Saccharomyces cerevisiae S288C: one gene and its partners. Changing the gene in region 2 together with the main gene of any one other region gives a genetic interaction. Each region holds a gene or a part of one and is shown on either strand. Other genes may lie near its edges. The genes, in order: GIM5, MAD1, SWC5 and CHL1.

Region 1 (5,232 bases), on a different chromosome or scaffold from region 2:
CAATAACTTGGCCTGGCTTAGTCATGATTCTCGGTTTGATAAGCTCTTGATGAGATGCTCTGGATGTCCATTCTTGACCTATCGGCATACGTAAAGATCTTTCATATTGTTCTCTATTTTCGAATGGGAATGGTACCGCTGAAGATTGGTATTTCAAGTTTTTCTTATTAACTTTTTCATTTATGATCACATTTTGTAGATTCTTATCTCTTCTTTTGTCTTTATTAACAACACCCTTAACCTTTTTGATGAATTTACGCTTCTTATTTTTTGGTTTAGAACCTGCACCGGCCCATTCACCCCAACCAGGTAAAGTGGTATCAACTTCTTTATCATCTTCATCATCAATGACACGTTTCTTTTCCTCCTGAAATTCTGCTACCACGTCGTCGCCAGCAAAGGCTTCCGCAATGACGTCTTGCTGCTTGAACATGAATACATTATCCCCTTGTTCGTCATCAGAACCACCATATGGATCGACTATCTTTAGCCGTGTAGAATCATCCGCCGTCAACAAGAGATCTTCATCATCGTTTGACTTACCTTTCTTCTTTTTCTTTTGCTTTAGCTCAGCTTTCTCCATTTTGTTCATGGCCTTAACATTTTTAGAACTGTCTTTGTCAATAACGTTAACTTTGGAAGATTGTTTCTTGACAGTGTGTTCTTCATCACTTTCATTAGCTAACCAAGGATTAACATCTTTTGCTTCTTCATCCTGTTGATTATTCTGACCGTCTTGAAGAGGTTCACCATCACTTTCCTCCTCCACAATTATTGCGCCTTCTGCGTTAGTTCTTGCATTTTTCGATTGCCCACTATTCTTGGCCCTTAGTCGGTTTTCCAAACTTCTTGATTCGTCAACTTTATTCTCTTTTCTAGTGTGGTCATTTAGTTCATTCATGTCTTTGTTGGATTCCAAGGAACCTGGGGTATATATTCTTCTGCCCTTATTTATTTGAATATTCTCTCCATTCGTCTCTTCCTCGTCACTTTCGAAGAGCTTAATATCATCACCATTTTCAACGGCCCTTAATTGACGTAAGGTTTCTTTGTTCGCCTCTCTTTCTCTAGCTTCACCATTCTTCATAAAGGCCATATTCATTACGCCAGTTTTACCCAATTTACTCTTCAATGCTTCTGAGTCTATATTCTCTTTCTCCTCATTTTCAACATCACTTAATGTTTGCACACGACCATCCTCTTCATCATCAGAATTTCTATCCAACATTTTTGCCTTTAAACGTTCACCTTGTCTTAGCATCTCTTCCATTTCTTCTCTGGTTTCAGCGTCATTTGTCATACCATGTTTGATCATATCTTTAGCCCACTTGGAATTTGTCTTGTGTTTTAGAGTCATTCTTTCTTTAGCCCTAGCGATATCATGATCTTCGTTGTCTTCGTCGCTGGAAACAGCAGCTAGCTCTCTATTTTTCATCAATTCCTTTTTCTTGATCTTACGATATGTCTTAGATTTTATTTTCTTCAACCTCCTAGCTTTTCTTTCTTCTCTAAACATCAATTCTCTCATCAATCTCATTTCGGTAGTCCTCTTTCTCATCTCCTCGGGTGTCATTTTAGCAGTGCTCAACTCTTCAAACTTTGAGTCTTTTTCTGGGTTCGCTAAATTACTCTCTTGAAGAACTTGATCTACCTTCTCCTGTAATTCTGTTTGAGGAACATCTTGAGTTCTAGTGAAAGCCGAGGCGTGGTTATGTTCGGTGGGTTTGTTCAGCGGGAAGATTAAATGATCAGCCCTTCTGTTCTGTTGGACGATATCATTCCACTTACTCACTTCTTGCCTAGAGATCTCGTATGCTGCCTTACGATCGTGTCTTTGTTGGATACGTTGTGGTAGCGGAACTTCATACGTCGACGACTTACCCTTAAGCAAGTTAGCGTTTTCAATAACTTGCCTGTCATCAATAACGTTCATCATATCCGTCAAACTCAATTTCCCAGAAGCTCCACTAGCTGCATTTGCAGAGGGCAAAACATACTCATTGGCCTCACCTGAGCCATACGTATCTAGTCTCTTTGGAGCTTTACTTTTGGTTTCATCAATCAGTTTTGAGGTAATTGTATTCAATTCGATGTCTTCTTCATCTTCAGATATTTCGTCGAAGGGATCCTCTTCCTCTTCATCATCTTCAGATTCCGATTCGCTTTCTTCGGAACTGCTTGATTCGGAACTTATATCTGTATCTTGCAATTTTAATTGTGGAGAAGCGTCTTCGTCATCATTGCCGTTACTCTGTGCGGTTTTCTCATCCATGTCCCACACTTGAGACAGTGGCATCAAATCTTCTTCATCAATGGAAGTATACCCACCTTCATCCTCTTCTTCTTGGTAGTTTGCATTCTCCTTCTTGTCACGAATAGTTTGTGAGAATTTGGAATTCAAAATGTCATAGTCATCATCAGAGCCCAACGCTTCATCAGAGTTCAACTCCTCATCTTCAAACGACTCAGAATCGATATCATCTTCATCACTGTTAGTGTCACCTTTTGACCTTTTTAACAAGTTGACAACTGTACCATTACGACGAGCATCATGTCTTTTGTCATTGTCGCTGGAGTTATCGAATTCACCATTAATTTCTCTCTCAGCAAGTTGCAAAGCATCCAAAACTCTTCTAGAACTCTTGGATCTGCTCTTAGATTTCTTTTTTGCCATATTTAAGTTAGCTTATTTTGTCTTGAAGCCTCTTTTATTAGTATATAACAAGATGTTATTGAATGCACACTTAATGAATTTTTTCAGCTCATCGCCATAGGAATTTGAAAAATTTTCAATGGCCTTTTCCGGAAAACTACAAAGTGACGATAAATAAAAAATTACGTTGCATATAGATAAACGTATATCAGATGGCTACAAATGAGATATGAAAAATCGTAGGAAAAGCAAAAGAGTTACCTAGGCTGTAGACGACTCCTTTTTTTGTTGCTGCTGTTGTTGTTTACTCATCGCTTCATGCTGTCTAATAGCGGCTTGTCTTATTTGGGCCTCGATGGACAAGGAATACTGGGTCTTTTCCTTAATAATATCTTGGATCTGTACAGATTCTTTGTTAAGCTTGTCTACTTTCTTTTGGTAAAATGCGATTGCTGCTTCAGCGCTCTTTTCAACGTAATATCCTGTACCAATGTCGACCATGAATTTCTTATTGTCTACAATCTTACCTGGGATGTATAATGATGCAGATGCTGGAACCAGTAGTTTTTGCCCTTCATTTCCTGCTTGGGAGACTGTTTTAATATCATCAATACATTCTGTGAACTTGCCCTTAGCCATGGTTAATGCTTGCAAGGACTGTGTGAAATGCTGCAATTCTTGGTCGAATTGCTGTTTTACAGCATTCAGCTGCTCGGGATTTAGTTTAGTTAAATCGACTAAGTTTCGAACATGTAGTAACTTAAAAGTTAGTAAAGTGTCTGTACGGTGGCAACAACGAAGGAGCTATTCATTTACATACTTTTTTGAGAGGACATGGCTTGATTTTTACAGTGCTCTTTCTTGTTTGGGTCACAGCAAGATTTTCATCTAAGACACTTTTCTATTTAAAATCGTTAGAACAAAAAAGAAAATTGTAACTTATGAGACAGCCACGCAACACAAAAAAGGGCATAAACAAAGTTGGTTATCCTAGAAGATGAACAATACTGATCCTACTTCATTTGAAAGTATATTGGCTGGTGTGGCCAAATTGAGAAAGGAAAAGAGTGGTGCAGATACTACTGGATCTCAATCGTTAGAAATAGATGCATCAAAACTCCAGCAGCAGGAACCGCAAACATCAAGACGCATAAATTCAAACCAGGTCATAAACGCCTTCAATCAGCAAAAACCGGAAGAATGGACCGACTCAAAGGCTACAGATGACTATAATCGAAAGAGACCCTTCAGGAGTACTCGACCGGGAAAAACTGTACTAGTGAACACTACCCAAAAAGAAAATCCACTCCTGAACCACTTAAAGAGCACCAATTGGAGATATGTATCTTCAACAGGAATTAATATGATATACTACGACTATCTAGTTCGTGGAAGAAGTGTACTGTTCTTAACTTTGACTTATCACAAATTATATGTCGATTATATCTCTAGGAGAATGCAGCCCTTATCTAGAAACGAAAATAATATACTGATATTCATAGTAGACGATAACAACTCTGAAGATACCCTTAATGACATTACAAAACTATGTATGTTCAACGGATTTACTCTACTTTTAGCATTTAATTTTGAACAAGCTGCAAAATATATTGAATATTTGAATTTATGAACAATTCCTATTTTCTTTTAATAAATCTGTTCCATGCTTATTACCATCCTTTGTCATTTTAGCGCTTTTAGCACCGAATTGAATGGCCCTTTTTGGTTCTGATGATATTCCATCCAACTTCAAATACTGCGAGGCAACTTTTCGAAGGATTAATTTGTTAACCTTGAAATTAATGGGAATTTCTGCTGTAGATAACTTTATAACATATTCATCTAAAAATGGGTATCTCACCTCCACGCCATTATGAGCTATCACTTTATCATCACGATTCAGGTTGCGATCATAAATGTTGTTTATTTGCCTTGTAAGTTCCTCCACAAGTTCATGGGGTGGTTTGTTGGCAAACTTGTGATATCCACCGTAGAGTTCGTCTGCTCCCAGTCCGCTGAATAACACTATCCCATGGCGCTGATATGGCGTTCTTTCCCCATTCAGAGAAGTTAAGAAACCTCTACCTCTCGACGCAAAAAAAAAAGCAATGGCTATAGACAAGTCCATTTCAGTCTGTTTAGGATACATTAAATTGATAACAAATGGCTTCCATTTTAAATACTCATCATAAGGAACGTCAACTTCAACCAGTTTGATATCAACATTAGGATATAAGTTTTGTAAAGTCTTTGCACTGTTAATGGACAGTTTTCTATCAGGTGTATCACTGGGAAAAAGACCAGTCCTGGGGTTTTCGAAGGATACATTTAGAAGCTCTATAACTGGTTTTCCACATTTATAATCATTTTCTTGCAACACCTCGCAGATCAACGCTACTATTACTGAACAATCAATTCCTCCTGAGAATAGTACCGCAATAGGAGAGTTTTCAATATGCCTGGGATGTATGGACTCTACCCTTTTTTTTACAGAATCACGTAGCACAGCATATAAATTTTTAGACACCTCTGACAATGATGTGAAATTCAGATCTATCTCTGATGTCACTTCGTATGGA
Region 2 (6,758 bases):
CCTGGCTTGAGTTGCAACCAGTGCCAAGCATCAGCGTTGGCCTCTCTCTTGTACATTGGTTGGCCTGGTCTCAAATTTAACCAGTGCCAAGCGTCGGCAACAGCCTCTCTTTTCGCCAAAGTGGTGTTTTGCTCTTTTTCAGCCGCCTCAGCAATAGTGGTGTTGATAAACAATAGCCCACTGGCGGTAGCGTTACTGAATGGTAAAAAAGCTATGTCATGATCACCTCCGAAATCCAAGTATCCAATAATGGCCTCGGCTGGCACCTGAGCGATATCTTCATCGGAACTAGCAGTGACAGAAACGGCCGCTAAAATAAAAGTGAGAAAGGTAGAAATGAATTTCATTTTCTCCAATATGTGAATTTACTGGAATTTGATGCAGGTGATGGTAGTAATTATCCATTATATAGAATATAAAAACAGATATAGGAAGGACACCTCAAACTACACCAGAATCAAGGACAGCTTTTATACATATAAGCCCTCGTCTCTGCGCTGTAAAGACACCAAGTTTCACTAGGTCCACGGCGACTCTGTACTGAAACAACTGAATATTTGAAACAGTAACGATGAATAGTTTGGCTCGATACCTTGAAAACAATCACTACAGGCGTCGCCCAGATGCGCACATCGTTGCTGGCATTGATGTACCAATGAAGAAATATAAGTGACAAACTTTATGAAAAGATAGAAAGAGGTTTACAAGATAAGAGAAAAATTATGCTGTGAAGATTAGTAATCGAAGTAACTGCTTATTCATTCAGTGCATGTTTTTCTAGGAATGCGTTTGATATGGGACATACATCTTACTATGCGACATTACCTTTTAGGGACATCAATGAGCAAGTGAACACTAGCAAATTAGGAAAACAACTTTAGCACGCCCAACTGCGTACTGAAACGCAGAAAACTATAGAGTTTCCCGAAACGGTGACAGCTGAGTTCGCTCAAATAAGAACAACACCATGTCTTGAAGCTTCTTCTATAGCGTAGAGTAAGTAGTGCCTTGTAGCCCTACCGTTTTACAATGCATGAGGTTACCCGCACTTATTATTTTTTTCTCTTTTTTTTTCTTAGCTATAAAAGGCAGATCAATGCAGCATTCATTGCTTTATTTGACTTTCCTTTACTATTTATTTACTTTCCATTTCTTATTTTAGTGTTATTTTATAACAGTAACGCAAATTTAACAGCCATTCGTAACACGTACAGTATCTCGTCGAGGTTGAACCCCTCCGGGGCGTTCTTGACCCATGAAGAATGTGGATTGGTGTTGCAATATATTTATTATTGGCTTGGACTGGAGAACAAATTTATCGATCTTGGGTGCAACAGTCTTTCTGTCGTCTGTTTTTTAGCAGATCTAAGGGTTTACCTTCGTGTGCCCGGATGAGGACCGTTGCAAGGATTGATAATACAACTATATACATCATTATCGTAGTGAATTGCACGAGTAACTTCTCGGCATGGGGTGAGTAAATTCATATTATGAAAGTAATTAAACTTACTACCTAAATAAGAGGATATCTATGTCTTATTGCTTGTATATATGAGTGGCTTGGAATGCTGCAAATACTGTTTAGGAAAAAGTAGATAACTAAAAGGTTTCTCCTTCCTTCGGTTGACGCAATTTCTTGTTCGCTGGGGTTGCCATTTCCTTTCTAAGATCAAGTAATAAAGTTTCCATGGTGTAGGCTCTTTTCCAGTCACGTAAGGTGTGGAAGTCAGTTTGGACCTCCCCCGTAGTTGGATTGACGCATGGTAGATTTATCTTGGAAATGAAAGTGACCTTTGGGGGAGAATCTGGATAGTTTGGGCCACAATCTATAGAAAGGGAATAGATTCTGTTTTCATGATTACTATGAGGGGGCCCTAAAATAGTGCCGTTCCATTTGGTCATGGTAATATCGTCGCTATCAGCTAAACCATAACTACATGATTCTGGACCAAACCCTTTTTCACCCTTTTCTAATTCTTCTAACAACCTAAAATTTCTTGGTCTGATTTACAATAGGACAGTGAGGGTACATTTCAAGAATTTGTTAGTATATGTTGAAATCCCTTTCAAAACTTATAATAACATACACTTTTGACATTTTTGTGTAAACGCTGCTTTCTTCTACGTTGCATATACAGAATAAGAATTTCACCACGACATCGAAATGTAATGAGCAGAGATTGTGTAGGAAGTTGATCTTATTTTAGTCTCTTATTTATCGCTAAAGGAGCAATGAAAATTGATAGCGTGTTACCCTAGGAATAATTCCTAACAATTTTTTCCATCTTAAAATCGAGAGGTAATAGTAAATAATGGATGTGAGAGCGGCATTGCAATGTTTCTTCAGTGCATTGAGTGGACGATTCACTGGAAAAAAATTGGGACTAGAGATCTATTCTATCCAGTACAAAATGAGCAATAGTGGTGGGTCCTCTCCTTTCTTGGAAAGCCCTGGAGGTTCGCCCGACGTAGGCAGTACAAATGGACAAAGTAATCGTCAGATTCAGGCGTTACAATTCAAGCTCAATACTCTACAAAATGAGTATGAGATTGAAAAATTGCAGCTACAAAAACAGACGAATATCTTAGAAAAGAAATATAAGGCCACGATTGACGAATTAGAGAAAGCATTGAATGATACAAAATATCTTTATGAAAGCAATGATAAATTGGAGCAAGAGTTAAAGAGTTTGAAAGAAAGATCAGCTAATTCGATGAATGATAAAGACAAATGCATAGAGGAATTGCGAACAACCCTCCAAAACAAAGATTTAGAAATGGAGACTTTAAGGCAGCAGTATGATTCGAAGTTATCAAAGGTCACTAACCAATGTGACCATTTCAAGTTGGAAGCAGAGAGCTCTCATTCGCTACTGATGAAATATGAGAAAGAAATAAAGAGGCAAAGTGTGGATATCAAAGATTTGCAGCATCAAGTGATGGAAAAGGATGATGAATTATCTTCGGTAAAAGCATCTAAGATGATAAACTCACATCCAAACTACTCCACCGAAGAGTTCAACGAGCTCACTGAAATGAACAAAATGATCCAAGACCAAGTTCAGTATACTAAAGAATTGGAACTAGCGAACATGCAACAAGCCAATGAATTGAAAAAACTTAAACAATCCCAGGACACTTCTACTTTTTGGAAATTAGAAAATGAAAAACTACAAAACAAATTAAGTCAATTACACGTACTCGAAAGTCAATATGAAAATCTTCAATTGGAAAACATAGATCTAAAATCGAAATTAACCAAATGGGAAATTTATAATGATAGTGACGATGATGATGATAACAATGTTAACAACAATGATAATAATAATAATAATAAAAATGATAATAATAATGATAATAATAATGATACAAGTAATAACAACAATATTAATAATAACAACAGAACCAAAAATAACATAAGAAATAACCCTGAAGAGATTATCCGGGACTGGAAACTTACCAAAAAGGAATGTTTAATTTTGACAGATATGAATGATAAGTTAAGATTGGACAATAACAATTTAAAGCTACTGAATGATGAAATGGCTTTAGAGAGAAACCAAATACTAGATTTGAACAAGAATTATGAAAACAACATAGTAAATTTGAAAAGATTAAATCACGAGTTAGAACAACAGAAGAGTTTATCTTTCGAAGAATGTCGATTACTGCGCGAACAATTAGATGGCCTATATTCCGCACAAAATAATGCTTTACTAGAGGTCGAAAATAGTGAAACACATGCGTCAAACAAGAACGTAAACGAAGATATGAATAATTTGATCGATACTTATAAAAATAAGACAGAAGATTTAACAAACGAACTAAAGAAGCTAAACGATCAGTTATTATCAAATTCCAATGATGTAGAAACACAAAGAAAAAAGAGGAAGTTGACAAGTGACCAAATTGGTTTAAATTATTCACAGAGGCTCAACGAATTGCAACTGGAAAATGTAAGTGTCTCGAGGGAGTTGAGTAAAGCACAAACTACAATTCAGCTACTACAAGAAAAATTAGAAAAGTTAACTAAACTAAAGGAGAAAAAAATACGTATACTGCAATTACGTGACGGCCCCTTCATAAAAGATCAATTTATCAAGAAAAACAAATTACTTCTTCTAGAAAAGGAAAATGCAGATTTACTTAACGAATTGAAAAAGAATAATCCAGCAGTGGAAACAGTACCCATTTCTGTTTATGATTCACTAAATTTCGAGTTGAAACAGTTCGAACAGGAAGTTTTTAAGTCAAATAAAAGATTTTCCAGACTAAAGCAAGTTTTCAATAATAAATCTTTGGAGTTTATTGACGTTGTAAACTCATTATTAGGTTTTAAATTGGAATTTCAACAAGATAGTCGTGTGAAAATATTTTCCTGTTTCAAACCTGAAAAATATTTGATTGCTGATCTAAATGAAAACACTTTGAAATCTAACCTTGATGCAGATATAGAAGGATGGGATGATCTCATGAATCTATGGGTGGAAGATAGAGGTCAACTTCCGTGCTTTTTGGCAACAATAACATTGCGTCTGTGGGAACAGCGACAAGCCAAATAAGTGTATATACATTTCTAATAGATAATAGTAATCGGTTTTATAATATGATAAACTCCTATCCGCTGACATAATTGTTGGTCACAAAATTCTTTTATCTTTCTTCATCATTGACCTTTTATGATTCCTTTGGTATGCAAAAAAAAAAAAATTGTGTTGAAGAATAAAAACAAATTACAGAATAAGTCACACATGATATAAAAAGAAGCCCAGTTTTTCATAGCTATTAAGGGGGCATAAATGCACTTATATGAGGGAAGGTGATTCTAATTCAAAAAAATCTGCGGATGTTGCTGTCCTCTCCATCATCCTTACGGGTTCGACCTTAACATTGATCTACACATATAAAAGGTATTTAACTCAATTCAAAAGAACAAATGATATACCGCGAAGAATATTTCGTAAACACTGGCTTTATGGTAAAGTCACGTCTGTAGGTGACGGGGACAACTTTCATTTCTTTCACATGCCAGGTGGTATAAGAGGTGGATGGGGATGGTTACGACCCGTCCCACAAATGATCAAGAATGATTCTACGGCAGAAAAGCTTGTTGGAGATAGCAGAAATATGAGGTTTTTCAATTTCAATTGGATTACGCATGGGAGGTCCACCAAAAGTAAAATACAAAAAGCTAAAAGCCAGTTCTTGAAGCTAAATGTACCTTACAAAAATAGGAAAAACCTGCCAACTATTCCTATAAGATTATGTGGAATCGATGCCCCAGAAAGAGCACATTTCGGTAACCCAGCTCAACCGTTTGGTAATGAAGCTTTAATTTGGTTACAAAACCGAATTTTGGGAAAGAAAGTATGGGTCAAGCCTTTATCTATAGATCAGTACAACCGTTGTGTAGCTCGAGTGTCATACTGGGACTGGTTTGGTGGGTGGAAAGACTTAAGCTTAGAAATGCTCAAGGATGGATTAGCGGTTGTTTATGAGGGTAAAGTAAACACAGAATTTGATGATAGAGAAGATAAGTATCGATATTATGAATTTTTGGCAAGATCTAGAAAAAAGGGACTGTGGATCCAGAATAAATTTGAAACGCCTGGTGAATATAAAAAACGTATTTGAGTTTTCGAGAGGATTTTTATCCATCATACTGCAGATTTTCATATTATATGTTCATTAGCTTTTCACGCTTCCTCTCGATATTTTTTTATTTATTTTCGGTTTCATTTTTGTACTAGTAGATAAAAATACATACATGATAGCAGTGTTATACAATTGATATTCGTAAATTTGGCATTCAGCATTTTAGGTAAATTCCGTGCCTCTTTTCTTCTTCTCTGATTTCAAACATTATTTGTACTGCGATGAATAAACTAACGCTTGCCAAAATTACAAATTTGAAACCAGATACGGTACAGAACATATCGCTTAGTAATTTTTTAGTACCGTCAGAGCCCAAGCAGAATCCAAAAAGATTAGCGATCATCATAACCCATATGTTGAAAACAGCACCGACAGCGCAAACGTGTCTGTACCAGACTGCGTCGGTATAATGAGAGAAAATTTGGGTAGCAAAAATTTCTGGTAAGAGGAACAAAACTATTAGCCAACCCCATAATAATAACTTTAGTTCGATGTCATGCCATATAGCTACGAAGGAAAAGACTGCTAGTGATGTCAAAACTCTATTTTTTGAACCACCTAGAGGAATATATATGTAACGGACAACCCACTTATTGTAGCTTCTATGCCAAGCTCTCCAGAATGCTAGTGAACTGTAATTGTTATCAACACACCTGATCATATTTTCAGGTGTATCGATTCCGTCTAGCAAAGCCCACAGCCTAAACAGCCTCCACGGAATCAGTAGTTTTAGCCAAATAATATTCAAATTAAATAAGCCAATCATGGAAATCTGGAAAGGTGTGTCATTTTCCCACGCTTTGGTTTTTGAGATTGCCACAACGTGGAGAAAGTGTAAAATGAACTCCATAGATAAGAGAGCAATAACGAATCTCACCGCATAGTAAAAAATGAATTTGAAATTTATTGATGGCAAGGTATGTTTCGATTGGTAAACATAATCATTGAATGTTATAATGGGGCCGGCAATGAAAAGTGGCGTGTAAGTAACATATGCAATATAATTCATTAAGCTGTAGTCCTGTATGGGGTGTGCAGCAGTTAATCTAGCACGTTCATTGAGCAAAATGGCTGATTTAGCTTCTTTTGATTCATAGGATGGA
Region 3 (5,471 bases), on a different chromosome or scaffold from region 2:
TAACAGAGCAGCTACTTCAGTTACATGGGCACCAAATGGTTATAAGTTTGCTGTTGGGTCCAGTGCTAGAATCATCGCTGTTTGTTATTACGAACACGAGAATAATTGGTGGGTATCCAAGCACATCAAGAAACCCATCAAATCTACCATCAATTGCCTGTCTTGGCATGCAAATGGAGTCCTATTAGCTGCTGGTGGTACTGATGGGTTTATGCGTGTGTTCAGCGGGTTTATCAAGGGTTTGGATTCCAAGGAATCCGTCGCCGGATCACCCTGGGGCCAGAAATTCCCTTTTGGTTGTTTAATCAGGGAGTGGTATCAGGGTTCTTATATCCATGATGTGGAATGGAGAAGTCAGATGGAAAGAATTGCTTATGTAGCGCATGATGGTACTTTGAATGTTGTCGATTACCAATCTCCAGTGCAATCTGTCAATGCTCCGGAAGGTTTACCTTACAGGTCCTTAGTATGGATAAACGACCACGAGATTGTTTGTGGAGGATACTCTTGTCATCCGGTATTGTTCAGCGAAGCCTCTGAAGGCTGGAAATTTGCGAAGAATCTAGACAAATCAGACAATAACAAGTCTTCTGCCTTAACTGCATCTGGTAATACAGACGAGCTGAGTGGTAATAATGATGAAAGTTCAACTTTCGGTATTTCCGCATTGAGAAAGTTTAAAGAATTAGACTTGAAAGGTAAAGTTAGCACAGATGTCCAAGAAAGTGCACATGAAAACGCCATTGTGGAATTAAGACCTTTTGCGGAATCCAACGGCCAAATCACACAAGTCTCTTCCTGTGGGTTAGACGGTAAGATCGTCATTTATACAATTTAAATATACATACGTATATATATATATTGTTATGTGTATTCCCTACCTCATAATACACCTTGAGTTTGTATTGTTTTTTTCTTCACTTGGCATATACAGACTATATTATTACAACTCACAGCACAATGTAGTGTACCGTAAAAAATAAAGCATCAGAATCAATTTCTTGCACCAAACCATTATTTAGAATTGCTACCCAAAGACTCCTGTTCTTGCTTTCTTTGCAAGATAAGCGAGTACACGCTACCTTTTAGCAGTGTCCCAACTAAACCAATTTTGACCTCTATGTCCCTCATCTCCTGTAGTATCTCATCTGGCGATACAGTTTCTTGCTGTGAATGCTGTTGCCTGTGTTGCGAATAGTTTAGTTCTTTTATAGTTTCATCCAGAGCTTTTAGATCTAAAGAAAGCTGTTTGTATTTGTCCAATACTTCTTGCTGTAAAGGTGAAAGATTGTGTTCCATACTGTGACTACAACGCCGTGTATGTTTCACAGCGACTTTGACTGGCTACTGTAAGCTCTTCTTTTGTATTCTTTGGAATAGTTTATTTACATGTAATTACTGTAATAGCGCGCAGCCGAGCTAAAAAAAAAAAAAATACAAAGCTTTTGATCAATTTGTTACAAAGAGAAATAATTCCGCGTACGTATTTCTATTGATATTTATATATCTACATTCATTCAATTTATTACCTTTTCTTTTATTTTTTTTGCCTTTTGTAGTTTCTGTATTTTTATTTTCTATGTGTTTTTATTGACTAGCAGTATATTTAGAGGGGCGACCTTCTTTTACGTTCAGCATTTGATCTATCAATTTCAATTTTATTGCTAATCAACATAATAGCAGCTTGGGACGCCATGAACGTACCTCTTATGGTAAGTCTTCTCTCCGAAGAGCCTTCTACAGGATCTTGTATAATAATTGAACAACCTGTGGATTCCTTGACCGAATTTATGTGCTTGCCATCTTTGCCAATGACATTTCCGACAAATTTCTCATCTATGAATATCTCTTGTTGTACAAAGTTCATTAATAAATGGTTGCCGGGTGCCGGACTGATAACAGGGCCGTCTAAGACTGTCACATTAGGGATAACGAAGTTCGGTTGAAAGGCCGTTGCGTTTGCAACGCTAGCAGTAGTATACTGCGGTGTGGCCATACTCAACAAAGTAGATGATATTGGTAAATTTTTGTTGGGTTTGTATGAAAGTAGTTTATCGCTTGGATGATATTGGTGGTTTCTTTGATGGAAAATGGTGTTCGGTTGGCTATGGTCTATTAATACTGAGTTAAACTGAGTTGGCTGATAGTATATGGACCTTTTCACATTTTTCTGCGGAGATTCCATCTGAAAGTTTAGCAATGTTTGACTAATGTAGAAAGTAGCAATATGGATAGCATCCGGAACCCCGTTAATGGTTAAAATTCTATCGTTAGAAAGCAGCAATTGATTCGGGGACGCGAATAATTTTGCTGCACTCAAATCCTCAATTTCTCTTAACCGAGACCCACGTTTGCCAATTATACATCCCATAAGATGATGAGGGATCAATAGGTTGATAGAAATCTCAATGTCTTCCCCGTTATCTTCGTTACCATGTTCTTCAAGCAGCGCTCTTACTATCATGCCGTATGCCTTGGCTACATCATCGCAAGTACCCCTCACGTAAACAATTCTTTCAGGAACACCTCTGATATTATTTGATATGTTTATTCTAGCAGAGGTTTCGGATTTTATTCTAGATATAGTGGCGCCCTTGTGTCCTACTATCAGTGAAGCGTGTTTGACTAAGCACAGCATTCGTAAATGTACATCAGAGGGAACATTGTCGGGGGAATCGTGGTCGTTGTCAGAGTGGCTGTCTGCATCCTTCAGGGCCACGCGTTTGATTTCTGCTTCCAGTTGTTCCTCGCTGGTGTCTTCACCCTTTTTCCTTTTGAGCGTGTTGGGAGAAACGAGTACAGTAGTTGGTGTAGTAGTGATTGATGGTTTTGTAGTCTCTGTGGACATAATTGAGCTAAAGAGTATTACAGAAAGATTATTTAATGCCGCGCTGGACGATTAAAATTGTTAGAGTGGATGTGGCTATGGATAAGTTTGAATATGAAAAAGGTTACTTATGCGGCTAACGACTAGGTGCGTATTTATCGTTTGACGAGTATGTACGTGTTTTCTTTTGTATCATGATATTTCGTGTAAGTACCATATCGGGGAAAGACAAAAAAAAGTGAATTAAAGAGCGAAGTTTAAAGATGATGAATAGGATTAATCGACAAGTAAGAAAAAAGACGAAAAGGCGTAAACTGGAATAATATTGTTTCAAGAAAGAAAACCCACTAGCCTATAAATGCCAGAAGTAGAGACAAAGATTATACCAAACGAAAAGGAGGACGAGGACGAGGACGGCTACATAGAAGAGGAGGACGAGGACTTCCAGCCTGAAAAAGATAAATTAGGTGGTGGTAGCGACGATAGTGATGCCAGCGATGGCGGTGACGACTATGATGACGGTGTGAACAGAGATAAGGGTAGAAATAAAGTGGACTATTCGCGTATAGAGAGCGAGAGCGGCGGACTGATCAAGACTAGAAGAGCTCGGCAAGCTGAGGAAGAATATGCGAAAACACATAAGTATGAATCGTTAACTGTTGAATCGATCCCTGCAAAAGTAAACAGCATCTGGGAGGAGCTACAGGAAGCTAGTAAGAACCGTCTTTTGAGCAGTTCAGGGAAAGTCGGCTCTGTTCTCGACGGTTCCAAGGAGGCTAGGTCGACAACGGCCGCGCAACAGGAGGACAAAATCCTCATCGAAAGAAACTACAAGTTTGCTGGTGAAACTGTCCATGAGAAAAAATGGGTTTCACGCAGCAGTGCGGAGGGTCAAGAATATCTAAACAGTTTGAAATTTAAGCAGCAGGCGCCTGCTGCTCCTGTTCAACTGGAAAAAGCAGTTAGGACCAAGTCCAATGAAAGCCGGCAACACTTGCGACGGCCACTGAAAAGGCCTCCATTGTTGGAGCAGATCATTTCTGGCGGGCTACGACCCAAGCTAACGACATTAGAAAAATCTCAGCTGGACTGGGCTAGTTATGTAGACCGTGCTGGACTTAACGACGAATTGGTGCTGCACAACAAGGATGGGTTCTTGGCCCGGCAAGAATTTCTGCAGCGGGTCGGGTCTGCAGAGGACGAGAGATACAAAGAATTGCGCCGGCAACAACTTGCTCAGCAGTTGCAGCAGGATAGCGAAGCTTCATAGACAAATATTACATGTATTAAATAACATGCTTTTCTGCTCAAATTTTTTTAACCGCCGAGGCCTGCACACTTTCACTACGTGTATAACGATGCTGCAGACAAAGTAATGGGGTGTATGGGTGTGGGTGGCAAAAAAAACCTAGCAACGCTCTATGTTTCTTTTCTTTTTTCTTTCTTTTTTTTTTTTTGCCGTTTCCGATGGGCCACTCGGTGAAAACATATAAAAAGGGCTCTACATTCATTTTTTCATCGATGAGTACTTTACTTGTTATCAGATTTATTCATTTTGTTTCTACTTGTTTTTTTTTTAAATCCCCACGAATCTCTTTGCCTTTTGGCTTAGATCAAGTGTAGTATCTGTTCTTTTCAGTGTAACAACTGAAATGACCTCAATGAGGCTCATTACCTTTTAATTTGTTACAATACACATTTTTTGGCACCCAAAATAATAAAATGGACGGGAAGAGACTTTTTAAGCAAGTTGTTTTCCGCTAATGTCAGGTCTCACTACTTTTTGCTGCTATTTTTCTTCGCTCATGGTTTCTTCATAAGGCGTTTTTATGATGGTTTTTCGAAATTGGTTTTTGAGACGACGGTTGCTCAAGGTTATTGTTTTTGTTTTCTTCTGGTTGTTTTCTATTTTCTTTTTTTTAGCTTTCTGTTTCTCCCTTAGTTTGGCTTTTTGCTTCATACTCTTCCCTGTCTTTCCGAGCCGTTTATGTCCAACGCGGGATTTGGTTTTTCTTTATCGATGGGAAGAAATGGTGCTATAGTAGGTTGGGAGATAATATTTATGGTATGGGGTGCTAGTGCGGATGGGGCGCTCTTATTGTTGATTTCTTCGCTCGTCTTCTTTTTCTGGTGGCGCTGCAAGAGGAAGTTTTTCGACTTTGTTATGATTTTTGGTTTGCAAGGAAAGGTGTCTTACGATTCTTTTTTTGATGTAATAGGATAAGCTTGCTTATCCCCCAAGTATCGGCCAAAGTTGTTGATTTTCCTTTTGAAGTGTCCTCGGTTTGAGGGGGTGTAGGGTGGGGTTGGTCTACAATAAGAGTGTTCCATTGTTAACGTGCTGGCGTCTTTTACTATATTTTTTTTCCCAGTTTATTTTGTGCTTATTTTCTCATTGAGGAGAAGGAGCTCTTCTCGCAGGATATAAATGGAGGTTTGCTAAAGGGGAGGAGATGTGTTTGTGAGAATACTGCTGAGAGAGTTCTGGAAGAGAAAAAAAGGAGGCAATGGAAGGCGTTTGCTGGGAAAAGAGAAGAGCCATGACTGCATCTGTTGTTTCAAGGCCAGTTTTATTAACCGCCTATGTCATAGAGGCGTTTTTTTTGGAGGGATTTGAAGAATGCCGGCGGCATCAAGAAACGGA
Region 4 (7,105 bases), on a different chromosome or scaffold from region 2:
AATACGCTATAAACAAAAAATCCGAATTAACGAATAGTTTTGATTTAGCTTGCGTATTATCTATAGCGGCAATACTTAAAAGAGAAGCGCCAATTTACAACGGCACGTTATTGATGAAGAACAGCTTTCTCGAGGAAACGTTCAATTTAGAAAGCTTCACGGCTGACCCTGAAACTGTAACATCCACCACGAATAACACGTGGAAGAGGTGTGGTGTCACTTTGCTTCCAATACTTACAACGCATGTAAAGATATGTCCCGTGAGCAAACAACGGGTAATAGACATAAAACGAGATGATTTGAATGATTATGGTTGGTTTACAAGGGGTCTATTAGAAAGATTTAATGAAATAAGCGTATATTGTGGAACAACGCTGGAAGTTATGTAAGGATACAAGAGACAAAGAATTACTTGCAGATATAAAAAGTAGTCATAAATATCAGTTTAGTTTACTATAATATATAGTAGTAATCACAGTATACACGTAAACGTATTCCTTTTAGCGTGAATTCAGGCTGCGCATTGAAAAAAACTTCCGTGTTGAAGAAATGACCTGATGTGTTGTATGTTCGGAATTGATAGAATCTTGCACCCAACGTGACAATTTTTTCCGGAAATTGGGCCTATTATATCGCACATCGAGCAAGTAAATGTTTGCGTAATCATTTGCATGCCGTATAGCACGTCCAACACTTTGGTTGACAGCTTTCATACAAATATTCTCCATAAACTCCTTTGTTGCTCGTGAAGCTTCCTCTTCCGTTCCGCCTGACTTCATTATTTTAGCGGCCAAATGCTTCCTTTTAACTATTAGTTCTCCACTAAAAATATTTGGGAACGGCAGGCCCACCATCACCACAGCCCTACATAAATCATCTTGAAAATTTATTCCCTCTGATAATTTTCCCCCAACAATAGCCAGCAAAAGAGACCCCCTTCCCTCTGCTACCGAATCAGAATATCCAGATAGAATATCATCGCCGTCTTTTGCTTCATAGAATATTTTCCTCACGTTATTTAATGTAGCAAACCTGTCATTCTGTTTCCAGCACTGAATTACATGCGCCAAATACTGATAGCTTGGAAAAAAAGCTACAATACCACCCTTTTTAGGAACTGCTTTGCTCAGATCAACAAAAAATTGAAAAAGATGATTATTTACAAGGGAGGGAGACATTCTTTTTTCGAATGTGAACTCAAGCTCAGGCTGGTTTGTGATATAAGTTTGCAAATTCTCTTTCGGTATAACATGATTGCACGACAAGGTCGTAATGTCTTCAGAAGGAACTTCAGGTAGCAAATTCGACAAAAACTCTGACATGGGTTCCATTGTCCCACCTGCAAGGACTACACATTTTGCTTGATTTAGTATTGACTCAAAAGGTTTACTTGGTTCTAGAAGCATGTACTTTATTGAATAATTTTTCTCAAAAAAAAATTGTCCTTCTGACGTCAAATTTGTCAAACAATATAGGAATTGAGAAACCTTGAAAAGTAATGGCTGAGAAGAAACTGATTTTTTATGCGTTTCTTTTATTGGATTTTCATTTTTTGACGATTCTTCCTCTTTTAGTGCCTGGTTATACGTGTCAATTTTGTAAGCAATTTTGGAGACTTTTATATATCTCAATAGTTTATGAATGTTTAGGGTATCGATGTTACTTCCTGTGAACATATCGTTAGGATCTATTTCTTGTCCTATCTTCTTGAAATTTTTAACTATAAATTGAATCAGAGTCATCAAAAGTGAATTGAGCTTTAATAGATTTACTCTGTTACCGGGATTGAGCCTGGACTTAAATTTGTTGAAATAAGTTACTATCCCCTTATGGCAATTCTTTAAGTCCTCCAACGAGATCTGAGAGGAATATATAGAATTTATTGTTTCTATCAAATTATGAGCCTCATCAATAATTACTATAGAATTTTCAAGGTTTATTTGAAGACTTGAACGGGTGGACTCAGAAAGTAAGTATTGATATGGCAAAGTCACTACCTCCGCAATAGGAAGTGCCTCCCTCGAGGCGTAATAGGGACAAATTCCCAAAGATTTTCCCAGGGGAACTAAATCTTCAATATCTTGAATTTCTGAAAAAATCATATCTCTGAGAGCTAACGTATCAGGACAATGACGCCATTCGTTTGTATTTTGATAAAAGATACATCCCTCTTTACTATGTCTAAGGTCCGCACATGCGTCATTAATAGCTTCCAATGTTTTCCACTTCATCACTTTTGGATTAATACAAAGCTGCTTTTTCGAAGCAAGTGGTAAGTACTTCACCTTTTCATCTGGGACCTTATCCCTAAAGGATGATGGGAACGAGGGTAATCTTAACTGAGAAGTAAATTGACCTAATTGTGAATAAGTTCTGGATGCATAATATATTTTCACTGGATTTTGATTTGTAACGTCAAAGCGATCGCCATTGTTTGGATCTCTCGAAACCTTCCCATCAATTTTGTCTAAAAGTGTTATTATTTGTGAATTTAGTTCACTCAATTTGTAATCTTTATCAGATATTCTTCCTCCTCTTGTGCTTTTGGAGGTATCATTGTTTTCAGAATCTGATTCGTACGGGCGCGGAATAAAATCTTGTTCTTCAAGTGATACATCAAGGTGCCTAGCGCCTTTGCGTTTCTTTCTTAATGGATCAACTGATTTATATCTTCCATGTTCTTTATCTAAATCACACATAGTTTTCAACTGCTTACAACTGGTCGTGTTAATTTCGTTTAAATGCTTCTCATAATCATTTAGCAAATCCACCTTTTCTTGTAAAACAGACTTTCGATAAGTGTCAATAACCCAGTCTGGCTCGTCATCGCTTAGGTTTTCACTATCATCTTCATTCGTTTTGATGTTAGTTTCCATGCGGGTGAAAATATCTGCTTTATTCATTCTCAACCAAGTCATCGTGGCACAGATTAAGGACAGCGTCTTGCCTGTCCCAGTGGGGCTTTCCAGGATAGCTATTTTCTTCCCTTCGGATAGCACTCTGTATACAGTTTCCATTAACTGTACCTGAATATCATAGGGCTTATAAGGATGATAGAAAGTCTCCGAATATTCCTTTTTGTCCATTTTTTGGACTAGTGTGACTGTTTTTAGCCTGGTTTTCTACTCTTTTGGGTTTTAAGGAAACAAACTGAAGTTGCAGTAGTGCCCTCAACTTAGCATGTGCTGATTACACTAATGATGAATTTAAATATGTCAGTGATAATGTCATCAACTGTCAGGTAACAAATGAGCCTCTACCTCAACTCTGTGGTTACGATTAAAATTGGATTTTCAATAAATAGCCTGAGTTTTAACCTTTTCAACAATTGCGACTTCTCTTCCGGACATTAACTAATGCACTATATCTATTGTATATTTGGACGCGTTTGAACTTTTCATTCATGCTGCGGAAGGATAGAAAAATGAAATTTCGCCTGAAAAATAGTTTTAAAAGAATCCGATGGCAAATTGAAAAGAAAGTTGCTACTTATTATCCGGTCTAAGAAGTCAGGCAGGCAAGAGATTAATAGCGATGAAGCAAAGAATTAGTGCCCTAGATTTACTGCTGTTGGCTAGAGAGCTGAAACAGGATTTGGAAGGCTACCGATTGAGTAATATATATAACATTGCCGATTCCTCAAAACAATTTTTGCTGAAATTTAATAAACCAGATTCTAAACTCAATGTTGTTGTCGATTGTGGCTTAAGAATTTACTTAACTGAATTTAGTAGGCCAATACCTCCAACTCCTTCCGGCTTTGTTGTCAAACTAAGGAAGCATCTTAAAGCTAAACGGTTAACAGCTTTAAAGCAAGTAGACCAGGATAGAATTCTTGTTCTACAATTTGCTGATGGCCACTTCTATTTAGTTTTGGAATTTTTCAGTGCAGGGAATGTCATTCTTCTAGATGAGAACAGAAGAATTATGGCTTTGCAAAGAGTCGTTCTAGAGCATGAAAATAAGGTCGGACAAATTTATGAAATGTTTGACGAATCACTTTTTACCACAAATAACGAGTCTGCTGATGAATCCATAGAAAAAAACAGAAAGGCAGAATACACCTCTGAACTAGTCAACGAGTGGATAAAAGCAGTTCAAGCCAAGTATGAATCAGACATTACTGTTATTAAGCAACTTAACATTCAAGGGAAGGAGGGCGCTAAAAAAAAAAAAGTGAAAGTACCTTCCATCCATAAACTGCTGCTTTCGAAAGTCCCTCATTTGTCTTCAGATTTATTATCAAAGAACCTTAAGGTATTCAATATCGACCCTTCAGAGTCTTGTTTAAATCTTTTGGAGGAAACAGACTCACTCGCCGAATTGCTAAACAGTACTCAGTTAGAATATAATCAACTTTTAACTACCACCGATAGAAAGGGTTACATTTTGGCCAAAAGAAATGAAAATTATATCTCTGAAAAAGATACTGCCGATTTGGAATTTATTTATGATACATTCCATCCCTTTAAGCCATATATAAATGGGGGAGACACTGACTCTTCTTGTATCATTGAAGTTGAAGGTCCTTACAATAGGACGCTAGACAAATTTTTCTCAACAATAGAATCCTCTAAGTATGCTCTACGTATACAAAATCAGGAATCGCAAGCGCAAAAGAAAATCGATGATGCTCGTGCCGAAAATGATAGAAAAATACAAGCTTTATTAGACGTCCAAGAACTAAATGAAAGGAAAGGCCATCTCATAATTGAAAATGCACCCTTAATAGAGGAAGTTAAGCTTGCTGTTCAGGGTCTAATCGATCAACAAATGGACTGGAACACTATTGAGAAACTAATTAAAAGTGAACAAAAAAAAGGCAACAGAATTGCTCAGCTTTTGAACTTGCCTTTGAACTTGAAACAGAACAAAATTAGCGTCAAGCTTGATCTCTCTAGCAAGGAACTCAACACTTCTTCAGACGAGGACAATGAATCAGAAGGCAATACTACTGATAGTTCTAGTGACTCAGACTCAGAAGACATGGAGAGTTCGAAGGAGAGGAGTACAAAAAGTATGAAAAGAAAATCTAATGAAAAGATAAACGTTACAATTGACCTTGGTTTATCAGCTTATGCCAATGCCACTGAATATTTCAATATCAAAAAAACAAGTGCTCAAAAGCAGAAAAAAGTCGAAAAGAATGTCGGCAAGGCTATGAAGAATATTGAAGTCAAAATTGATCAACAATTGAAAAAAAAGCTAAAAGATTCTCACAGTGTCTTAAAAAAGATCCGCACTCCTTACTTTTTTGAAAAATATAGTTGGTTTATTTCAAGTGAAGGATTTTTGGTCATGATGGGTAAAAGTCCGGCTGAGACAGATCAAATCTATTCAAAATATATTGAAGATGATGATATTTATATGTCCAATAGTTTTAACTCTCATGTATGGATCAAAAATCCAGAAAAAACAGAAGTTCCACCGAACACTTTGATGCAAGCGGGTATACTATGCATGTCCTCAAGCGAGGCTTGGTCGAAGAAGATATCTTCTTCTCCATGGTGGTGCTTTGCAAAGAATGTTAGTAAATTCGATGGCTCTGATAACTCCATTCTGCCAGAAGGTGCCTTTCGGTTGAAAAATGAGAATGATCAAAACCATTTACCCCCTGCTCAACTTGTGATGGGTTTTGGATTTTTATGGAAAGTGAAAACCAGTGGAAATGAGGATAATGGTGATGATGACGAAGAAGAAGAAGAAGAAGAAGAGGAAGAAGAAGAAGAAGAAGAAGAAGAAGAAGAAGAAGAAGAAGAAGAAAAAGAAGAAGAAGAAAAAGAAGAAGAGCAACAGCAAGATGAAGACGATAGTAACGAGGTCAATGGGTTAGAGAAGGGTGGAGATTCAAACGATAGCACGAAAAACAACAGTTTTGAACACGATAATCTTGAAAAAGACATCGAAAAGCATTGCACCATATCATCCGATACCGACTCTGATTCTGGAAATGCTAAAGCCAAAAATGACAATAGCAGTACGCAGCGTATCCTTGATGAACCAGGTGTTCCGATATCTTTAATCGAAAACATAAACAGTAACGTCCGTGGTAAAAGAGGAAAATTGAAGAAAATTCAAAAGAAATACGCCGACCAGGATGAAACTGAACGTCTCTTGCGTTTGGAGGCCTTGGGTACTTTGAAGGGTATCGAAAAGCAGCAACAAAGGAAGAAAGAAGAAATAATGAAGCGAGAAGTTAGAGAAGATAGAAAGAATAAACGCGAGAAACAAAGAAGACTACAGGCTTTAAAATTCACCAAAAAAGAGAAAGCAAGAGTGAACTATGATAAACACAAGTCCGAATTAAAACCATCTCTCGATAAGGGCGATGTGGTTGATGATATTATACCAGTATTTGCCCCCTGGCCTGCGCTTTTGAAATATAAATACAAAGTCAAAATACAACCGGGAAGTGCGAAGAAAACTAAGACTTTAACTGAAATTTTACATTATTTCAAGAGTAGACCACTAGACGGTTCTTCAACTGACAACGAAATGGATTGGCCCCAAGAACATGAAATGATTAAAGGCTTGAAGGAACAGGACTTGGTTCTTCTGCTCTGTGTCGACAAGTTAAAAGTAACAATCGCTGGGCAGAAATCCACCAAGAACGGTGGTAACTCTTCGAAGAAGGGCAAAAAAAAACGCTAAATCATATGAGATGAAAAGAAAATAGACAGCAATTATAATTTTTTCATTATTTTTCATCACAGACCAACGAGAAGAATAAAATGATTAGCATGAGGTGACAATCATTTCTAAATGAGCAACATATACTTATATATATAAGTAGATACATATATATGGAAGGGAGAAAGTAAGACACTGCATATATACCATATAAGACCAGCTAAAATTTTCTTCTATCCGCTTTGCCTTGTGATCATAAGCCTTGCTGTAACCTTTCTTGAAACTTGCTCTTTGCGAAACCCCACGCGCCTAAGAAACCCTTATCCAAATCTAATGCCATTTGGGGTTCGTTCGTAGGTGGTTTAGAAACTCTGGATGCAATAGTGTTAGAGTCAGTTTCGAGGATAACACCATTATCAATGGTTTCATCAATAGCTAATAAAACCATATCATAGTTTTCTTGGATGTTTTTTTT

What was found.
Region 1: mutations in MAD1 (region 2) and GIM5 together harm fitness more than expected from each alone (negative genetic interaction), as found in Saccharomyces cerevisiae (7 studies listed by BioGRID, with this or other methods).
Region 3: mutations in MAD1 (region 2) and SWC5 together harm fitness more than expected from each alone (negative genetic interaction), as found in Saccharomyces cerevisiae (5 studies listed by BioGRID, with this or other methods).
Region 4: mutations in MAD1 (region 2) and CHL1 are lethal when combined (synthetic lethality), as found in Saccharomyces cerevisiae (7 studies listed by BioGRID, with this or other methods).

What each region holds. Positions count from the first base shown.
Region 1 is NC_001145.3:80,532-85,763, reverse strand, and holds GIM5 (Gim5p), read right to left. Parts: upstream 3,490-5,232; coding exon 3,474-3,489; intron 3,391-3,473; coding exon 2,915-3,390; downstream 1-2,914. Other genes in the region: UTP14 (Utp14p), read right to left, coding at 1-2,674; DNA repair protein RAD10, read left to right, coding at 3,651-4,283; YML096W (putative asparagine synthase), read right to left, coding at 4,278-5,232.
Region 2 is NC_001139.9:344,807-351,564, forward strand, and holds MAD1 (coiled-coil domain-containing protein MAD1), read left to right. Parts: upstream 1-2,312; coding exon 2,313-4,562; downstream 4,563-6,758. Other genes in the region: MF(ALPHA)2 (Mf(Alpha)2p), read right to left, coding at 1-347; YGL088W (uncharacterized protein), read left to right, coding at 1,030-1,395; E2 ubiquitin-conjugating protein MMS2, read right to left, coding at 1,600-2,002, 2,088-2,098; LCL3 (Lcl3p), read left to right, coding at 4,810-5,634; GUP1 (O-acyltransferase), read right to left, coding at 5,810-6,758. UniProt on the Saccharomyces cerevisiae protein: Central component of the spindle assembly checkpoint. Thought to recruit MAD2 to unattached kinetochores. During checkpoint activity, MAD2 is relayed from the MAD1-MAD2 complex to the mitotic checkpoint complex (MCC).
Region 3 is NC_001134.8:680,805-686,275, reverse strand, and holds SWC5 (Swc5p), read left to right. Parts: upstream 1-3,185; coding exon 3,186-4,097; downstream 4,098-5,471. Other genes in the region: ARC40 (Arc40p), read left to right, coding at 1-838; DAD3 (Dad3p), read right to left, coding at 1,015-1,299; telomere maintenance protein PBP2, read right to left, coding at 1,607-2,848. UniProt on the Saccharomyces cerevisiae protein: Component of the SWR1 complex which mediates the ATP-dependent exchange of histone H2A for the H2A variant HZT1 leading to transcriptional regulation of selected genes by chromatin remodeling. Involved in chromosome stability.
Region 4 is NC_001148.4:535,366-542,470, reverse strand, and holds CHL1 (DNA helicase), read right to left. Parts: upstream 3,087-7,105; coding exon 501-3,086; downstream 1-500. Other genes in the region: transcription factor TFIIIC subunit TFC8, read left to right, coding at 1-389; RQC2 (Rqc2p), read left to right, coding at 3,535-6,651; RET3 (coatomer subunit zeta), read right to left, coding at 6,884-7,105.